4 linked regions of the Macaca fascicularis genome follow. The protein of the gene in region 3 interacts with the protein of the main gene of each other region in a biochemical or structural test. Links are inferred from orthologs where the notes say so. Each region holds a gene or a part of one and is shown on either strand. Other genes may lie near its edges.

Region 1 (4,128 bases), on a different chromosome or scaffold from region 3:
GTCACCTAGAGTTAGTTACTTAACTTCTCTTTTCCTCAGTTTCCTCCTCCATAGGATGCAGATCATGTAATAAATATTAGCAACTTTTCTTAAAAAGTAGGGTGCACAAAAAGAAAAAAGTCAGCAAAAGGGACTGATTTTTAAAACTTAATTAAAAGCAAGTAGTGGGCCGGAAAGGCAATATTATAGATTTTTGAGCACAGAAGCAGAAGCTGATTCACTTATAATTTCTTAGAACATTAGATTTGCTGAGGGGGAAAGGTAGGGTTCTTGCCAAAATCATTAAGGAGAGCGATTCTGAGTATGCCTTAAAGCAGAACTTTCAGTAAACAGGAATTACCTATAAAGAAAATCAGGAAGCCAAAGTGTTTCTTTTCATGAAGTTACATCCTGCCATAGAAAAGCTGGATAGGAAATAAAGACCGATGCACTCCCAACTGTATACTAAACCGGCAATTATTTCATCAAGGGAAATCTGAGCAAAAGCTCAGATTCTGTGAAGGGGAAAAAAAACATGAGAGGTTTGAATGTCATAAGAAACCAAAGACAACCAATGGCTACAATTAAACAAGGTTTTTTTGTGGGGGGAAATGTACGAACAAATCTCTGTGATTTCAGGTTCTTTAGTCGCTGCTCGCCCCTCCCCCCATTTCAGTAATACTTCCTCTAGACTTTTGCTAGAAAAGAAATATAAATAAGTGTCTCCAGAAACAGGGGACTGATAAAATGATCCTAATCTCCTTCTCCTCCTCATTGTTATTTGTTGTGCGTTTCCACGTTTCAGTGACAGGATTCTACTTTGTTCGCTACTCTTTTCAGTTTGATCAAAGAAAACGCTGCTATCACCGTCCAAACAATTTTCCATTTCATCCTCTCACCCTCAAATGAAAAGACACCAGAAAGGCAAGATAGCCCTGTCTCGAGGCAGGTTCCCATGGTTTGGGGGGAATGGCAGGTGTCAATCTGCAGCAGCAGCTGCAACCTTCCGCAAAGCAGAAACTGCAGTTCACACTTTCCGCTCTTTCTCCCGCCCTACTCCGCCACCTCACAACTCCACACAATCCTTAAAAACACACAGACCTCCTCCTCCAACCTCGCATCCTCTTGCACACCCTGCACCGCACGCACCCTGGGATGCCCGCTGCCACAGTAACGCTCAACCCACTCGGCGGCCCCACCCACTGCCGTCCCGCCCACGCCCCAGGCGCCAATGGTTGAGGCCCGCAGCTCCCAAGGGGCTCCTTGATAGGGCAGCGGGGCCTGTCACTCTCGGGGCGCACCCCGCCCCCTCCTCGCTCCCCTCCGGAGCTGGAGGGGCCGAGCATCAGCAAGAGTAGCAGCGAGCAGCCGCGGTGGTGGCGGCGGCGCGTCGTTGCAGTTGCGCCATCTGTCAGGAGCGGAGCCGGCGAGGAGGGGGCTGCCGCGGGCGAGGAGGAGGGGTCGCCGCGAGCCGAAGGCCTTCGAGACCCGCCCGCCGGCCGGCGGCGAGAGTAGAGGCGAGGTTGCCCTGCGAGCGGCGCGTCCTCTCCCGCCCGGGCGCGCCGCGCTTCTCCCGGCGCACCGAGGACCGCCCGGGCGCACACAAAGCCGCCGCCCGCGTCGCACCGCCCGGCGGCCGCCGCCCGCGCCAGGGAGGGATCCGGCCGCCGGGCCGGGGACACCCCGGCGCCGCCCCCTCCGTGCTCTCGGAAGGCCCACCGGCTCCTGGGCCCGCCGGGGAGCTCCCGGAGCCGCCTCGGCCGCGCCGGAGGAGGGCGGGGAGAGGACCATGTGAATGGGCTCCGGAGCCTGAGCGCCGCGCAGGTAAGCAGGCGGCGGGGATGCGCCGCGGGAGGCCTCGGGGATGCTGCGGAGACGCCCGGCCGCCGGCGCCCCCGCGCACGCCGCCCCCGCCGCGGGGCCCGGCGCTGCGGTCCCTCGGCCGCCGGGGCGCCCCGCGGGGCTGCTGGGGAGTCGGCGCTCGGGGTCTTCCCGTGGCTGCACGCGAGGACACCCCTGCGGGGTGCGGCTCCGAGGCGGCGCGGGGATGGGGGCCCCATTTCCTCGCCCGCAAGCGGGCGCCGAGTGAAAATTGGAATTGGCTTGGGGGTGAGGCTGGCCCAGACTCCGCCCCCGCCCTCCTTTCGGGGCCCCCAGCGGGGACTGGGGCTGTGTGTGTTGTTTTAATGTCAGGGGTGATGTAATCACTTAATAATTGATGCCCCGTGCTGCTTCCCTCCCCACCCAACCCCTGCCCCACTCCTCCACCTCTCGGCCTCCTCCCTCGGCGGCGGTCGCCTTCTCCAACCCATCCTCCTGCCTATTTCTGGCACCTCCCTTGCACTTCCCCCATCCTCTCCTTCACTCTTCCTGTGCCACCACCCACCCACCCTTCCCCTTTCCCCTGTGCTAGAGCCTTTCCTTCTCTTCCTCTGTCCCTCACCCCTCTGCTCCCTCCAGCTCCTTTCTCCTTCCTTTCCGGCTCCCTCTCTGGATTTCCTCTCTACTTCCCTAGATCCATGGCTGTTTTTGTTTGGGCTCCTCCCCTCTCTTATCTCTGCGGCCACAGGCGGAGGGGACTGGGCCAGAAGGAGGCCACCGAGCTTGGGCCCAGGGAGAGATGTGCTGGGACTCACTGGGAAGATGGATAATAAAATCACCCTTCTTGCCCCTCCTTCCCCCAATAAATCACACAGACTCGCCGGGTGTGTGTGTGTGAGTGTGAGTGTGACACAAAGAGCCCTTTCAGTGCATAGAAAGGAGACACACAAAGTACCCTAGGATAGGCACGATGCTTCTTGTCTCTCCTCCCTGGGGCTTCCCTTTCTTTCCCATGAAGCAGTTGGTCTCTCTGAGTCTTTCCTGCCACATTTACCAAAAAATAAAAGAACCCCCAGATGCCGGGTGGCAGGTGTCGGCATTTTGCTGTGTTCACAGACCAGTAGTGTTGACTGGCAGCTGCAGTGTTTCTTAGATTTAAGGGGACAATTATTCCAGCAGTCTTAAGAGTTGCTTTACTTTTAAGGTAGCCTCCCTATCCCTATTCTTTCCCCTCTTCTTTTGGGGACAAGTACTAAGAGCTGGGGTAGAGTAAATTGGTGTGGGGGTCACAGGAATTTTGTTTCTGAATCAGAATTAAATTGGTATTTGATAAGGGGGAGGCAACCTGACTGGCTTCTTCTATCAAGTCTAAGAGGTCACTGTGCTGATGTCTTTTGAAATGAAATCCTGTCAGCCCAGTGATGTTGTTTTACCCTTTTATTGACCCTTTTATTGAAGTAAATACCTGGGGACGTGGATAAAACGGTCTAGAGTTAGCATTTGGAAGACCACTGCAGACTGTCTTTTGCCTGCTTCAAGGTAGTCTTGGGACGCCCACTTCCTTTCTCACCACCCAAGCAACTGCAATACTTTCCACCCTTTGTACTGTCTTCTTCCCCAGTCCCTGCTCCATGGTTACCCTGTGTTCAGATAAAGGGACTCGCAGACTTTTGGAGGAAGTGGTTTAACTATATGAGGCTTTGGGGCCACTTGGCTATGAACTGGGGCTGTAGAGAGTCTTGACTGAAGTCTAAACCATCTGATGTTCTTTTTAAGGAGGAAATGTTAATGTAAATCTGGGGGCTTAATGTTCCGTTTTGTAAACTAGTGACTATTACACGCTTAATCGATATTGTCAAAACTTAAGTGAAACCCGTTCTTCCCTAAAAGTATGGCTCCTCGACTATTATAAGTAACAGAACTGTAGGTTTCTTTTTCAGTAATTTTATTAGAAAAGAGTTATGATTCGTGAAACATTTACTTATGTGCTTTTTAAGAACATTAATCGTGGAGCTTTTTACATTAAAAAAAGCAATAGGGTTAATGAGTGTACTGTGAAAACAAAGGGTCGTTTGTTTGATGCCGGACCCAGGAAGGAAAGCCAGAGCACATAAACTCGCACTCTGTTGACCAAGTTTGAGAGACTTAATGATAAGGTTGAATGTGAGCAAATGCACACTCTGTTTTCTCCTGGGTCTGCAATCTCTAACCCCATCTGACTTCCTTGAAGTCGTTTTTAACCTTTGGCGCCCAACTCAAATGTCATCTCCTCTGTGAAGCCGTTTCCATCTTCTCCTTTCCAAACAAATCATCATATTTTGGTTTCAA
Region 2 (4,257 bases), on a different chromosome or scaffold from region 3:
GAATTAACACCTGGCTCGACCAGAGCTAATGAATATTTAGGACAGTTGGAAGGAGATGACCATTTATAATTCTTCAGTAAATGAATCCTTCAATAAATTAAAATGATTTTCAAAAACAGGGTGTCAAAATATTTAAGAGAATGGAAATAAAGTATGTTCTCTGTAGATCATGTCAAGGGTGACACCAATCCCATCCATATCTACTGGATGAAAGCAAGATGTGCTTTTCTCAAAATTTACACTAGGCAAAAAAAAAAAAAAAAAGGCAGTTTTATTTTAACCAGATGTGAACAAATCAAACCCAATATTTTCAAGTATTTTTAGTGCCACATGATGTCATCCAATTTTATATTTTCTACTGGGGGATAATGTGTATTTTTAAAATTGTGAAGCCACTTTCCATGTATGTACTTAAGTCTTACGATAAATTACAATAAACAAATTACAACAGCACAGGACATGATCTTGGCTGTTTATGTCAACAGCCAAGAAAGACATTTAGGTTTCAGTAGGAAATGGAATTAGACACATGTGAAATGTCTTCCGCTGGCATTCAAGGTAGTCCTCATTTCAGTGACGATGGTCCTGGTCCAAACAGGTCCAGGGCAAGCATTACTCTGCCTATGCCCTCCTAGTACAGCGCAGCCTGTGGACTCCACAAAGACTGAAGGCAGTCTTAGGCTAGTTATTCAGGAAACCCCAGCTTTAAACAACCAGAGCCTTCCTTTTTTGTTGTAACAAGATCACACATCCCCATTGCTACTACCCAGATAGTGCCGGGTGTCCCAGGATCTTGGCACTGCTCTTGTCCTCTGGAACTGGCAAGGGAATGAAGATGCCTCTAAACTGACCAAGACTTACTTCCTCACGCTTTTCTCTGGGGCAGCATCAGGCAAGCAGTCATACCCTGGAACAAGAGTGTGGTCCTCAATGGCTTTGCTGAGTGAACTTCTCCGAGTCATCTCGCCTGGGAAAGAGATTTCTCAAAGATCATTTAAAGCTTTCCAGAGGGCAACAGCAAGACAGTCGTGAGCCAAGGTTACCATAAATGCTTCCACAACCCCTGATTTCATTTCGGAAATAAGGAAAGAAGTAGTCAGCACTGCAGGCGTTGCTGACTCCTCATCCAGCAGCCTCCCACCCCCAATCCCTCAACAATTAAGATACAATAAAAGTAAAGTTAATATTACTGTAGGGCCATTGGTACATTGAAACGTCGTTGAATTAAAAAGTCTTTATTTCAGCCCAAGATCTTCTCCATCCACCCACACTTGAGCACAGAACATTCCAGGCAGGCAAAGCCACCCGTGCCCTCCTCTCCTTGGCCACGTCCTCAGGGGTGGGCGAGCTTCGGGGAGAGGGGTGGGGGTGACGACTCCGTGCCAACGCAAAATACTCTGCCAAAAGGCTTCTCAGACACGAGTTTCCCAGGGCCATGCCCACCTTCCGTTCCCCGCCTTCCTGAGTCTCTTCTCCCGGTTTATGCTGGAACCCTGGAATGGTCTGGGGACCAATGAGATGGCAGCGGTTGACGCTTGGATCACGGTGAGGGGGCGATTTCCAGGGGGAGAGGCCGCGAAGCAAGGAAGGGGGGGCAGGAGGAGAAAAGTGGGAAGCGGGGACAAAAAGTAGGCGGGGAGGAGAGGAGAGCCCCAGTTGGGGAAAAGCAACGGCAGTCGAGGTAAAAAGAGCGAAAGGTAAAGAAAGAGCAGGTTCGTGAACAGGAGCCGGCGGGCAGGCCGGGGGATCCCGGGCGAGGAAGCGGCGAGGGAGGGGCGTGGGCCGGGCCGGGGGCCCAGCGGGGAGGGTCACTGTCAGTCAGGCTGAGCTGGGCTCGCTGGCCGGGGGGCGGCCGCAGGGGCGCAGCGCAGCCTGAGGGCGCGGCAGCCCCAGCAGCCTCGGCAGTGGCAGTGGTGGCCGCGCCCCCGTCCCCGGCCGGGCGCCCGCGCTGCGTTCCGCGTACCCCAGCGCCGGTTCCGGCCGGCGGCCGCCCAGGCTGCCCCCGCCCGCGCGCGCCCGTTGGGGGGCCCAGGGAGCTGCGCCCGCGGCCGGGCCGCATTGTGACGTAGCGGGGCCGCGGCAGCGCCTCCGCCGCTCGCCTGCTCCCGCCGAGGCTGTTCTGCTCCCGCCGCCGCAGTCCGTCCGTCGGTCTGTCAGTCCCTTCGCGCTCCTGAGCCGCCGGCGCGCGTGGCGCCCCGGGTGAGTCCAGGTCCCAAACGGACCCCGCGGGGAGGCGGGGGGCGAGGAGCTGGCGGCTCAGCCTTTCCAAGTTTGCACCAGGCGACCCTGGCGGGTGTCGCCCCGTGCTCCCCAAGCCCGGGGCCCCCTTTGTGCCGCGAGTCTCGGCTGCTTGGGACAGCAGAGGCGTCTCTGCAGAAAGGGTTTGGGGGGAGGTCTCTATAGTAACAGTGGTGGCGGCAGCGGCTGTTTTACTGGGGAAAGGGGGAAACAACCCCCGCCTCGGTTTCCAAAGGATTGTTCTTTTCATTTGCCTGCCTCATGTGGTTCTTATTCTTGCTGCCACCCGGGATCGTATCGCAGGCAGGGATGGGCAGTGCCGCGGCTCGGAAGAGCTGAGGTAAGGAGGGGCGAAGTAATAGTAATAGCGACGGTACTAACAACGGTAGCAATAGCTGTAGAAGAGGGACGTCTGGTGTTGCTGCCGCCCCTCGCTCATCAGCACGGGCTCCCCGACTGCCCTGTCCAGCCCGGGCTCCGTCAGCCTCCCTCTAATGCTGTCCTGCGTCCCAGGCTGGTCCGCGTCAATTTCAGCGGGGACTGTTTCTCTCTTGGCCTTCTCTCTTGGCGATGACTTTCATCTGCAGGTGGTAAGTAGGGTGAACCCAATTTTGGCTATTGTCAAAGGCCACATTTTGTTTATTTCATTTTTACGAAAAGAAAAGAGGGAAAATTATGAGCCATTACTGGCAGCCATACAGTTTCCACAGGAAATACTAGCATTCTTTGAGGAACACGCTACTGCTTGCAGCGAAGAAAGTCTTAGGAAACAAAAAGGCAACAGCATTGTTGCTCATTTTCAATGGACCTCTAGGAGGGGGGAAACGTGTTGTTTTTTCCTGTGGTAACGTTGCTTTCCTTGGGAAAGTTAATTAAGGAAGCATTACTGTCGGTGCCCCTTTTTCACTTGCTGGAGGCAGGGTCCGATTCCTCTTGGCTGTTACTGACAAGTGCCCATCAAAGAGCCCAGAGGAAGAGAGAACTGCTGCAGGACAGTCTCGCCACACACCACGTGCCGTGGAGCCTGGCCAGGGTGCAGTTTGCAAAATGAAATAAGGGCTGTCTGGGGAGGTTTATGAGGATTACATGTGTGCAAAGTATGTCAGTTCTCCAAGGTGTCACTCTAAACACGTAATTTTCAAGCACTACTTTCGTTGCTGAATCTGCAGGAAGGGAAAAACCTAGTTTTCTTTTATGGAGCAGACATCTCAATTGGGAATGGGTTGAAATCTGTATTTCATTTGTACATATTGAAAATTTAAAAGGCAAAGAACAAGGTGTAGGAAAGCAGTATGCTAATGTGTACACATCTGGGAGAGAAAGTCTGTTGGCTGTTTCTAATGCATCTCAATGTTAAATTACATTCAGCATGGTTAGAGTACAAGGAGACACCTTTAAGGAGTCCTCAAGACTATTTGAAAGGTGCTGTATTTTGGTACTGATCGCGGAAGTCTCTCTAGAAAGGGAGTATTAACTGAGGATTACCCATAACTAAATATGTATGCATTAACAGGTCTGGAATCAGAAAGTAGAAGATAGTGCTTCTCTTAAGAATCTTTTGGACATCTCAGTTAGAATAAAATACAGAATGGGATTTTGAAAAGAAGGGGTATAATTTTGAGTATAAATTTCATTTTCTCCATAGCAAGCGTTTCATGACGAAAGGTTACAGATAGTAGATTTGAAATGATGCTGCATTCATGAATTTGACTGTTACCATTTGTTGATATCCAAAAGGAAGTGACTAAAGCAAATGCATTTCTCTGTCTACTTTGTCACAACTTTGCTAATTCCAGACAGTTGTTCTGGTGCAGGTGTACAGTGGAAATGCAAGCCAAGAAACTGTGTGTGCTATTGTTTTGGAAGAAATTGTAGCAGTACTTTACTGCTCTTAAGGGAAACCCACACAAACATCTAATACAAACAAATGATCCTTGATATTATCAGAAAAAGCCTGGAGCTGTTTTTCTTGCCAGATGTAAGGCATGTCTTGTCAAAAGAGGAAATCTCCCAAGGAGC
Region 3 (3,510 bases):
GAGGTTCAAGGTCAGCAGAGACCCTACTAGAGAAACCAGTTCTACAGAAATGTTTTTAAATGTGTCGATGATTGCTACCTGTATACTCTGTTATTTTGTCATGTAACCATTTTATTTATTATTATAATAATAAAAGAGTGAAATTATAATAATGTGCAGAGTACATTTTACTGTGCAGTGTATTGCATTAAAACTAGATTAAAATTTATACATCTATAAAAGGTTATCTAGATATTATAAAATTTATGGCTGGATCTGTAAAAAATTCAAAACCTATTTTTAATCTTGCTTCAAGATTTTATAACAAGAAAATGTTCATTTGAAGCAAAATTTTCAATTCTCGTCCTTGAAAACGAAAAAAATGACAACTTGAAACACATAATTGACTATTTTTAAAGGATCAACATTTCAGAAATGTTTTAAAACATAAAATTTTCAGTACAGCTTTTCACTGGCATTTAAATCGAACTTTGAATTGTAAATAGCTCTTACTCTTAAGGAGACATCAGCCATATCCTTAGAAATGGCACGGAGTTGGTAGGTAGTTGTACAAAATTCTAGCCTAAAAGACAAGTAGGGAGCAACAATACTGTGGACCCTTTCTGGTCTTGGGCTGTGTGGCTATGTCAGGCTTCCCCACATTGCCTGAACTAAGGAGAAAGCCTCTTGTCCTTACAGGCCCCTTAGCTTCTGTGACTTACATAGTCTATTTGAAAATGAATTGCTTTGTCCACACCATTTAACTATTGGCTTCTTCAACTGGTGAGATGAAACCTATACAATAATCATGTGACTAGCACGAAAGAGCTGACATGGTGTAACTCCTCTCAGACTGAGGCTTATCTGGGGAGTACAAATCATATCAAGAAAATGTGCCTTCATTTCCTTAGATGAGTGTCCCCATCCTCCACTCTCCTCCACTGTTCTCCTCTCTGCTTCTATGATACCAACTTTTTTTTTTTTTCTTTAGATTCCACATGAGTGAGATTATGTTGTGTTTGCCTTTCTGTTTCTGGCTTATTTCACTGAACAAGAAAATTTTTGACATGAAATTAAATTTCTGCCTATAAACTCAATTCAAACTGTTTACACTGTCTTCTCAAAAATGTTAACTTATTGTAATAAACCTACTGAATGACCGTATCACATTTTGTTTTGTGAAAACGAATTTTAAGGGTGCTCAATAGCCTCTTCATTTTCATACTGTCCAGCTCCTTTGCTCCTATTAAAATTACTGCAAGTTAGCTTTTAAGAACCCTATGTTTCACTACCTGAAGTTCTATAAAAAGATCCAAGTTCCTTCAAAACCATTTCTTATGCTGTCATTCATACATATGTGATAATACCGTGTCTGAACACACAGATAAGAAGTATGGGCTGGGTGCGGTGGGTCATGCCTGTAGTCCCAGCACTTTGGGAGGCCGAGGCAGGTGAACCACCTGAGGTTAGGAGTTCGAGACCAGCCTGGCCAACATGGTGAAACCCTGTTTCTACTAAAAATACAAAAAAAATTAGCCAGGCATGGTTATGGGCACCTGTAATCCCAGCTACTCAGGAGACTGCGGCAGGAGAATAGCTTGAACTCAGGAGGTGGGGATTGCAGTGAGCTGAGATTGTGCCATTGCACTCCAGCCTGGGCAACAAGAGTGAAACTCTATCTCAAATGAATGAATGAATGAATGAATGAATGAATGAATGAATGAATGAATAAATAAATAAATACAAGTATGTATTGTGTTGTTTAGAATGTGTGGTGGAAATGAACTTGCTGAGTGAGCTCAAAGGATTGGCACTGAATTGAAATAAAGAAATACTCATGTTGAGTCTGGTTCAACTATAACTGCACCTGTAAGAATTGCTTTCCTTAGTATAAAACAAATCCAAATCACTCATGGCTTTACATTCTGGATCATTAAACTTGAAGCACTTTTTAATACTGCATGACTTTAACAAAAATATCTTAGCCGAGATTCAATGTTTGGTTGAGCCACGCTCACTTGGACACCTTGGTTGCTTGTTTCTTCTGACCCCTCAGTTGTCTATGGCATGTGTAGATACAGGTGTATGGAAGTCGATGGCTAGTGGAAGTGGAATGATTTTAAGTCACTGTTATTCCACCACCCTTTAATCTGTTGTTGCTCTTGATTTGTACCAGTGGCTGAGAAGACCAAAGAGCAAGTGACAAATGTTGGAGGAGCGGTGGTGACGGGTGTGACAGCAGTAGCCCAGAAGACAGTGGAGGGAGCAGGGAACATTGCAGCAGCCACTGGCTTCATCAAAAAGGACCAGTTGGGCAAGGTACGGTGTGTACATTTTGTGCTACATTTATAAGCTGGTGAGATTATGGTTCATTTTCATGTGAGGCCTGGAGGCAGGAGCAGGACACTTACTGTGAGGAACAGCTACCTGACCCTCCCCTTGTGAAAATGTGCTACCTTTATATTGGTCTTGCTTGTTTCAGGCATTAACCCAGATAAATGCCATGCAAATTTTATAATTATCATGATTGTTTCAATTTCTAGAAGAAAGTTAATGAAATAAAAAATGTAGCAAAATGTCAAAGGAACAGTGACATTTCAAAAAGAATGAGGACTTTCATGTTAACTATAAGTCTTGGAATTTCTCTTCCTTGGAATAACAAATCTCTTTGTGCCTAATTTCTTAATTTCCAAAATAAAATTCTTTTACTTGATTTCTTTATAGTGACATCATCTCTTATTAAATGGCATATTTGCATATTACATAACAGTTCATTGCCAAATACATGTTTGTGAGAACTAAGAGGTTTAAAATATATACCAACCAGAGATCATAGTTTTGAGGTAGATTTTAAAATTCTGAGAAGAATTTTGACTGAATTTTTTTGACAAACATGGGGCACAAATAAGATTATACCAAAGATACTATAACTTTCATTTTAAATATGAAACTAATACGGTATGAGGTGTCAACAATGATGAAATTTTACAAATGTCACCACTACAACAGCAAAATGATTTTTGCTTTTTCCCTGTCTCCTTGCTATTTCTTGAATAAATCAAGCATACCCTTGCCCTGACACATTACTGGGGAGGCCTGCCTTAATCTATATAAAATTGGAGCCATTCTTCTCACCTCTGGTATTCTCAGTCTCCCTACTCTTTCTTTCTCCTTCCTTCCTACCTTCCTTCCTTCCTTCCTTCTTCCTTCCTTTTTCTTTCTTTCTTTTTTCCTTCCTTCCTTCCTTCTTCCTTCTCTCTTTTCCTTCCTTCCTTTCTTTCTCTTTCTTTCTTTCTTTCTTCCTTCCTTCCTTCCTTCCTTCCTTCCTTCCTTCCTTCCTTCCTTCCTTTCTTTCTTTCTTTCTTTCTTTCTTTCTTTCTTTCTTTCTCTTTCTTCCTTCCTTCCTTCCTTCCTTCCTCTTTCTCTTTCCCTTCCTTCCTTCTTTCCTTCCTTCCTTCCTTCCTTCCTTTGTTTTTCTTTCTTTCTTTGCCAAAGTGTTCTTCACCTTTAAATATAATAAATAATTTGCTT
Region 4 (3,974 bases), on a different chromosome or scaffold from region 3:
TAATGGGGACTAACTCCTCAGTAAAAAAAGAAACACCAGTTGAGAGAAGAGTGATGGAACAAAAAGAAATGGAAAGGGATGGCAGTATGTAATGATACGCTACTTAACATGCTGGACACTCCCAAAGACCTTGGGATTCTTAGGACCAAGTGGGGCCAGTCTCAGAGCCTCCCATTGGATGCAAACAAGATGCACCTAAGGAAGCCTGGACAGATGCTTTTTGTTTTTTGTGGTCTTTTTTGAGGGCGGGGCAGAGGGAGCATGACCGGGAGAGGGAGGAGGAAAGGAAGGCCAGGGTGGGGGGAAGGATCAGCTAAATCTGAGGGAAGAAGAAGGAGAGGAGAGGGACTATTGCATAGCAGATGCAAATGAAGGGACTTGGGGCTAGTCAGGAAGAAAGGGAAAGGGAAGGCAGGCAAGAGAGAGGAGGTGAAGGGAACCTCAGGAAGGGGTGTTAAGGACAACCAGAAAAATCTTCTAGTAATAAAACTACAAACAGACCAAATATATATAATATTATATATGTATAAATAACAGCTGGCTATTTACAGGGGGACACACACACGGACACACACACGCACGGATCCAGGGAAGGGGGGCTGAAAGATATGGCTGAGAGGTGGAGGAACGGCTGAGGGTGGGGGGAGAGGCCCTTCTTTAGGCAGGGCAGACTCCTCAGGGATTTAAGTGCTGAAGTAAACTGTGGAGAGAGGGGAAGAAGATGAGGAAGAGGGAGAGGGGAGGGAGAGAGGGAGAAAGAAAGAAAGCAGTGTGTCAGGCCTGGCCCTGCTCCAATCCTCCCCACTCCCCAGCTGGCTGGCACCCCTACCCCTCTCTTGGACTCAGTTTCTCCATCTACAAAGCAAGGGGTTAGACAGGTAGGTTATGAGGTCCCTTCAGTTCCATGGTATGGCCTTGAGGCCACATACCCTAATCCTCTGAGCCTGAGGCCACAAGCTCTCAAATAATGGGGTGGTTGGCTTCCTGGTCATGTCTCAAGCCCCTGGGCCTTTCCTTTCTCCCACTCCTCAATTCCAGGGCTCTCAGATTGGGCTCTTAGGCCCAAAGGGTCCTCAATGGATACACCAACTTTTATATTTCTAAATGTTAACAAAACTGCCAAGAACCAGGCAAAATGCAGGCTAAATAACATCAAAGTTTTTGGCTCTAGGTGAATCAGAATTGCCATTAGCAGCTATATGTGTTTTTGGCTGAAGAGTAAAAACTAGGTTAATGACCTTCAAAACCCAGAATCCACTGGGGAAACCTCTCCAGGGAAAGGGCCCCGGCCATTGCCAGCCTACTCACCTATGATGATGATGAGGATGATGGCGCAAATCACTCCCAAGATGATCATCATCTGGGGGTGAGAGGAGAGGATCAGCGAGACTAACTATGATACCCCATTCACCCGCCAGTCCTCCTTCCTGTCCCCATCCTTACCTTGAGGTTTTTCCACCAGTATTTGCGCTTGAGCTTGGCTGCACTTGTTTCAAACTGGGAGGCCCCTGCCTGGAGTGCATCTGCACGGTCGTCCAGCTCCGACAGCTTCTGGTCCCGCTCCAGGACCTTGTCCACGTTCACCCTCATGATGTCCACCACCTGGGAGAAGGGCCCACGGGGCAAGGGGGTGTGCCAAGGCCCACCTCATGAGGGTAATCCTCAAACATGTGCCCACCGTGCCACACATGGAACATGCACCCTGATGCTGCCAGGTTAACATGCCAAGGACACACACAGTACATGCCTAGCACACCTGGGGACATGCAAGGAGCACACATCAGGGGATTACTGGTGACATCTCAGATATCATAGCAACACCCTCCCTCTATGGCGCCTCAGGCGCTCTGTCCATCACCAGAGCACACCTGCCTAGGCTGGCACACCCCAGGCTAGCAAAGCTGATTAACACCCCCAGCACCCTTCCAAGTGCGTGCTGACAGGGAGACACGGATGGGGCAAGGTATCTTTGTCCGCAAACCCACAGGCGTGAACTGTCATCACTCCCAAACCAACATGGGCCCCTACACCTAAACGCCAACCCCCAGGGTCCTTTCTACTGCTTTTGACTCCCCCCACACTCACCTCATCCACCTGGGCCTGGGTCTGCTGCAGTCTCCTGTTACTGGTGAGGTTTGGAGGGGGTGCAGGGGGGCCACCCTCCCCAGCCGGGGCGGCAGGGGGGGCCGTGGCAGCGGTAGCAGACCTGAGGAGCAGGGACGGATTAAGACCCAGGGCCTGCAGTCTCCCGGCCCTGCAGCCAGGGCTCCGCCCATCCACCTGTCCATCCTCGTCCCTCCAGTCCTCCTTTTCGGGAGGAAGGCCACCCGATGGAAGCCCTGGTCCAGGTCCAGCCTCGCCACCGATGAGCTGCGTGACCTTGAGCGAGGCCTCCCCTCCCCCCGGCCTCAGTTTCCCCGCCTGTCAAATGAGGGCGACCTCACAGATGTGATCGGGGTCGACCCGAAAAGACAGGCGGCCGCGGTGACAGGGGCGGGGCGCGGCAGGAGGACACAGGGTCCGCTCCTTCCTGCGGCCATCGCTCGAGCCGGCCAGCCCGAGACGCTGGGCTTCTCGGCCGCCCGCGCGCAGTCACCGGCTTGGGCCTGGCCCCGGGGCGCGGGGAACGCGGGAGAGACCCCGGGCACTCCCCACGGCCGGTTGCCAAGGGCGGCGGCCGGTGCAGGGAAGCGCGGTGAGGGTGGCGGGCGGCCGACTCACATGGTGGGGGCAGCGGGTGGAGGACTTGGCAGCAGCAGTGATGGCGGCGGCAACTCGCGCTGGCTCCGACTGGCGCTGGCTGCCCGGGACGGAAAGATGGCGGCCGCGCGTCACCCGCATCCGGGCACTGCGGGCGGGGGCGGGGCGCCGCGGGCGACGCGTCGGGAGCGGGGCCGCGGGGGCGGGGCGCTGCGGGACTGGGGTCGTGCCCGGCGGGACTGCGGGTCTGGCGCCACCGTGCCCCGGCAGCTCTCTGGGCACTCACGGGACCACCAGGCGGGTTGCTGCGGCTTCCCTAAACCCACCGTCACCCCGCCCTGTCTGAGCACAGCCTTCCACAGCCGCCCCCAAACCTCTTGCCACCTGCCCCTTAGGGCACACAGCAGCCTGGCCCCGCACCTAACCCCCAGACCACTCCCTGAATCGTGAACCCAATAAGCCAGCCTGCATCCCACACAGCCCAAGGTCTCGCCCCGCGCCCAGGTCCCAGCACCTAGCGACCCGCCTTCAGCACTGGGAATGGGCTGGGGTTGGGAAATCAGAGAGGGCCAGTACAGGCGCTGGGGCAATATCGAGAGCGGGGACCCTGCTGCTAGGGTGGAGGGGAGTGGAGGAGGTTGGTCTCAACCCATCACCCCGCTGGTGGATGTCTCAGAGGAAGCCTGCGATCCCAGGCCACTGGGTAGGAGGGTGGGAAGAAAAGATGAGGCAGGCTCTTCCTGCCGAAACAAGTCCCGGGGGTGGAGGACCGGGGAGTGTCTACAGGGTGTGAGGAGGGGGGTGCCCCGCCTCACGATTGAGGTTCAGACCAGGGGTACTTAACAGCTGGAGCAGGCCCGACTGAGGTGGGGTGAGCTGAAGACCCCGAGGAGGAGGGCACAAGGCAGCCGGGGCTGATGGGGGCAGGGGCTGCTTCACGTGGTGGCTGCTGACTGGCCAAGACCTAGCTTTGCCCCAGGCTTGGGTCAGCGACCCCAACTGCAGGAGAGGGCTCAGGCTTTGGTCCCAGGCACAGGGACCAAAAGGCTTTTTTCTCTCTCATTTTTTTTTCTTTAGTAGTAGGCACAGTGGGTACAGTTTACAAGGTGCTGCTTTACATGCGTATTCGCCTCGCAGGTGTGACCTTGGACAGTTGCCGTCCTCTCTCTGGACCCCAAATACATTGCATATGTAGATACTAAATCCATATTCGTTAAATGGCTTGATGTGGATAACATGGAAGATTATCCCTATCTCCATTAGGCCCTCTAAGC

What was found.
Region 1: of the proteins of SNCA (region 3) and FYN, one has a biochemical effect on the other in vitro, tested with the Homo sapiens proteins (3 studies listed by BioGRID). The link is inferred for Macaca fascicularis from reciprocal best matches to the Homo sapiens genes SNCA and FYN.
Region 2: the proteins of SNCA (region 3) and SNCAIP form a complex in vitro, tested with the Homo sapiens proteins (3 studies listed by BioGRID and IntAct, with this or other methods). The link is inferred for Macaca fascicularis from reciprocal best matches to the Homo sapiens genes SNCA and SNCAIP.
Region 4: the proteins of SNCA (region 3) and VAMP2 form a complex in vitro, tested with the Homo sapiens proteins (3 studies listed by BioGRID and IntAct). The link is inferred for Macaca fascicularis from reciprocal best matches to the Homo sapiens genes SNCA and VAMP2.

The regions. Positions count from the first base shown.
Region 1 is NC_088378.1:15,922,010-15,926,137, reverse strand, and holds the start of FYN (tyrosine-protein kinase Fyn), read left to right. Parts: upstream 1-1,326; 5' UTR 1,327-1,803; intron 1,804-4,128. UniProt on the Homo sapiens protein: Non-receptor tyrosine-protein kinase that plays a role in many biological processes including regulation of cell growth and survival, cell adhesion, integrin-mediated signaling, cytoskeletal remodeling, cell motility, immune response and axon guidance.
Region 2 is NC_088380.1:128,907,247-128,911,503, forward strand, and holds the start of SNCAIP (synphilin-1), read left to right. Parts: upstream 1-1,455; 5' UTR 1,456-1,540; coding exon of another isoform or gene 1,541-2,488; exon of another isoform or gene 2,489-2,823; intron 2,824-4,257. Other genes in the region: uncharacterized protein, read right to left, coding at 1,541-2,488. UniProt on the Homo sapiens protein: Isoform 2 inhibits the ubiquitin ligase activity of SIAH1 and inhibits proteasomal degradation of target proteins. Isoform 2 inhibits autoubiquitination and proteasomal degradation of SIAH1, and thereby increases cellular levels of SIAH.
Region 3 is NC_088379.1:95,364,112-95,367,621, reverse strand, and holds part of SNCA (alpha-synuclein), read left to right. Parts: intron 1-2,155; coding exon 2,156-2,298; intron 2,299-3,510. UniProt on the Homo sapiens protein: Neuronal protein that plays several roles in synaptic activity such as regulation of synaptic vesicle trafficking and subsequent neurotransmitter release.
Region 4 is NC_088390.1:8,246,504-8,250,477, forward strand, and holds the start of VAMP2 (vesicle-associated membrane protein 2), read right to left. Parts: upstream 2,803-3,974; 5' UTR 2,724-2,802; coding exon 2,722-2,723; intron 2,207-2,721; coding exon 2,086-2,206; intron 1,603-2,085; coding exon 1,444-1,602; intron 1,361-1,443; coding exon 1,309-1,360; intron 701-1,308; coding exon 684-700; 3' UTR 1-683. UniProt on the Homo sapiens protein: Involved in the targeting and/or fusion of transport vesicles to their target membrane. Major SNARE protein of synaptic vesicles which mediates fusion of synaptic vesicles to release neurotransmitters.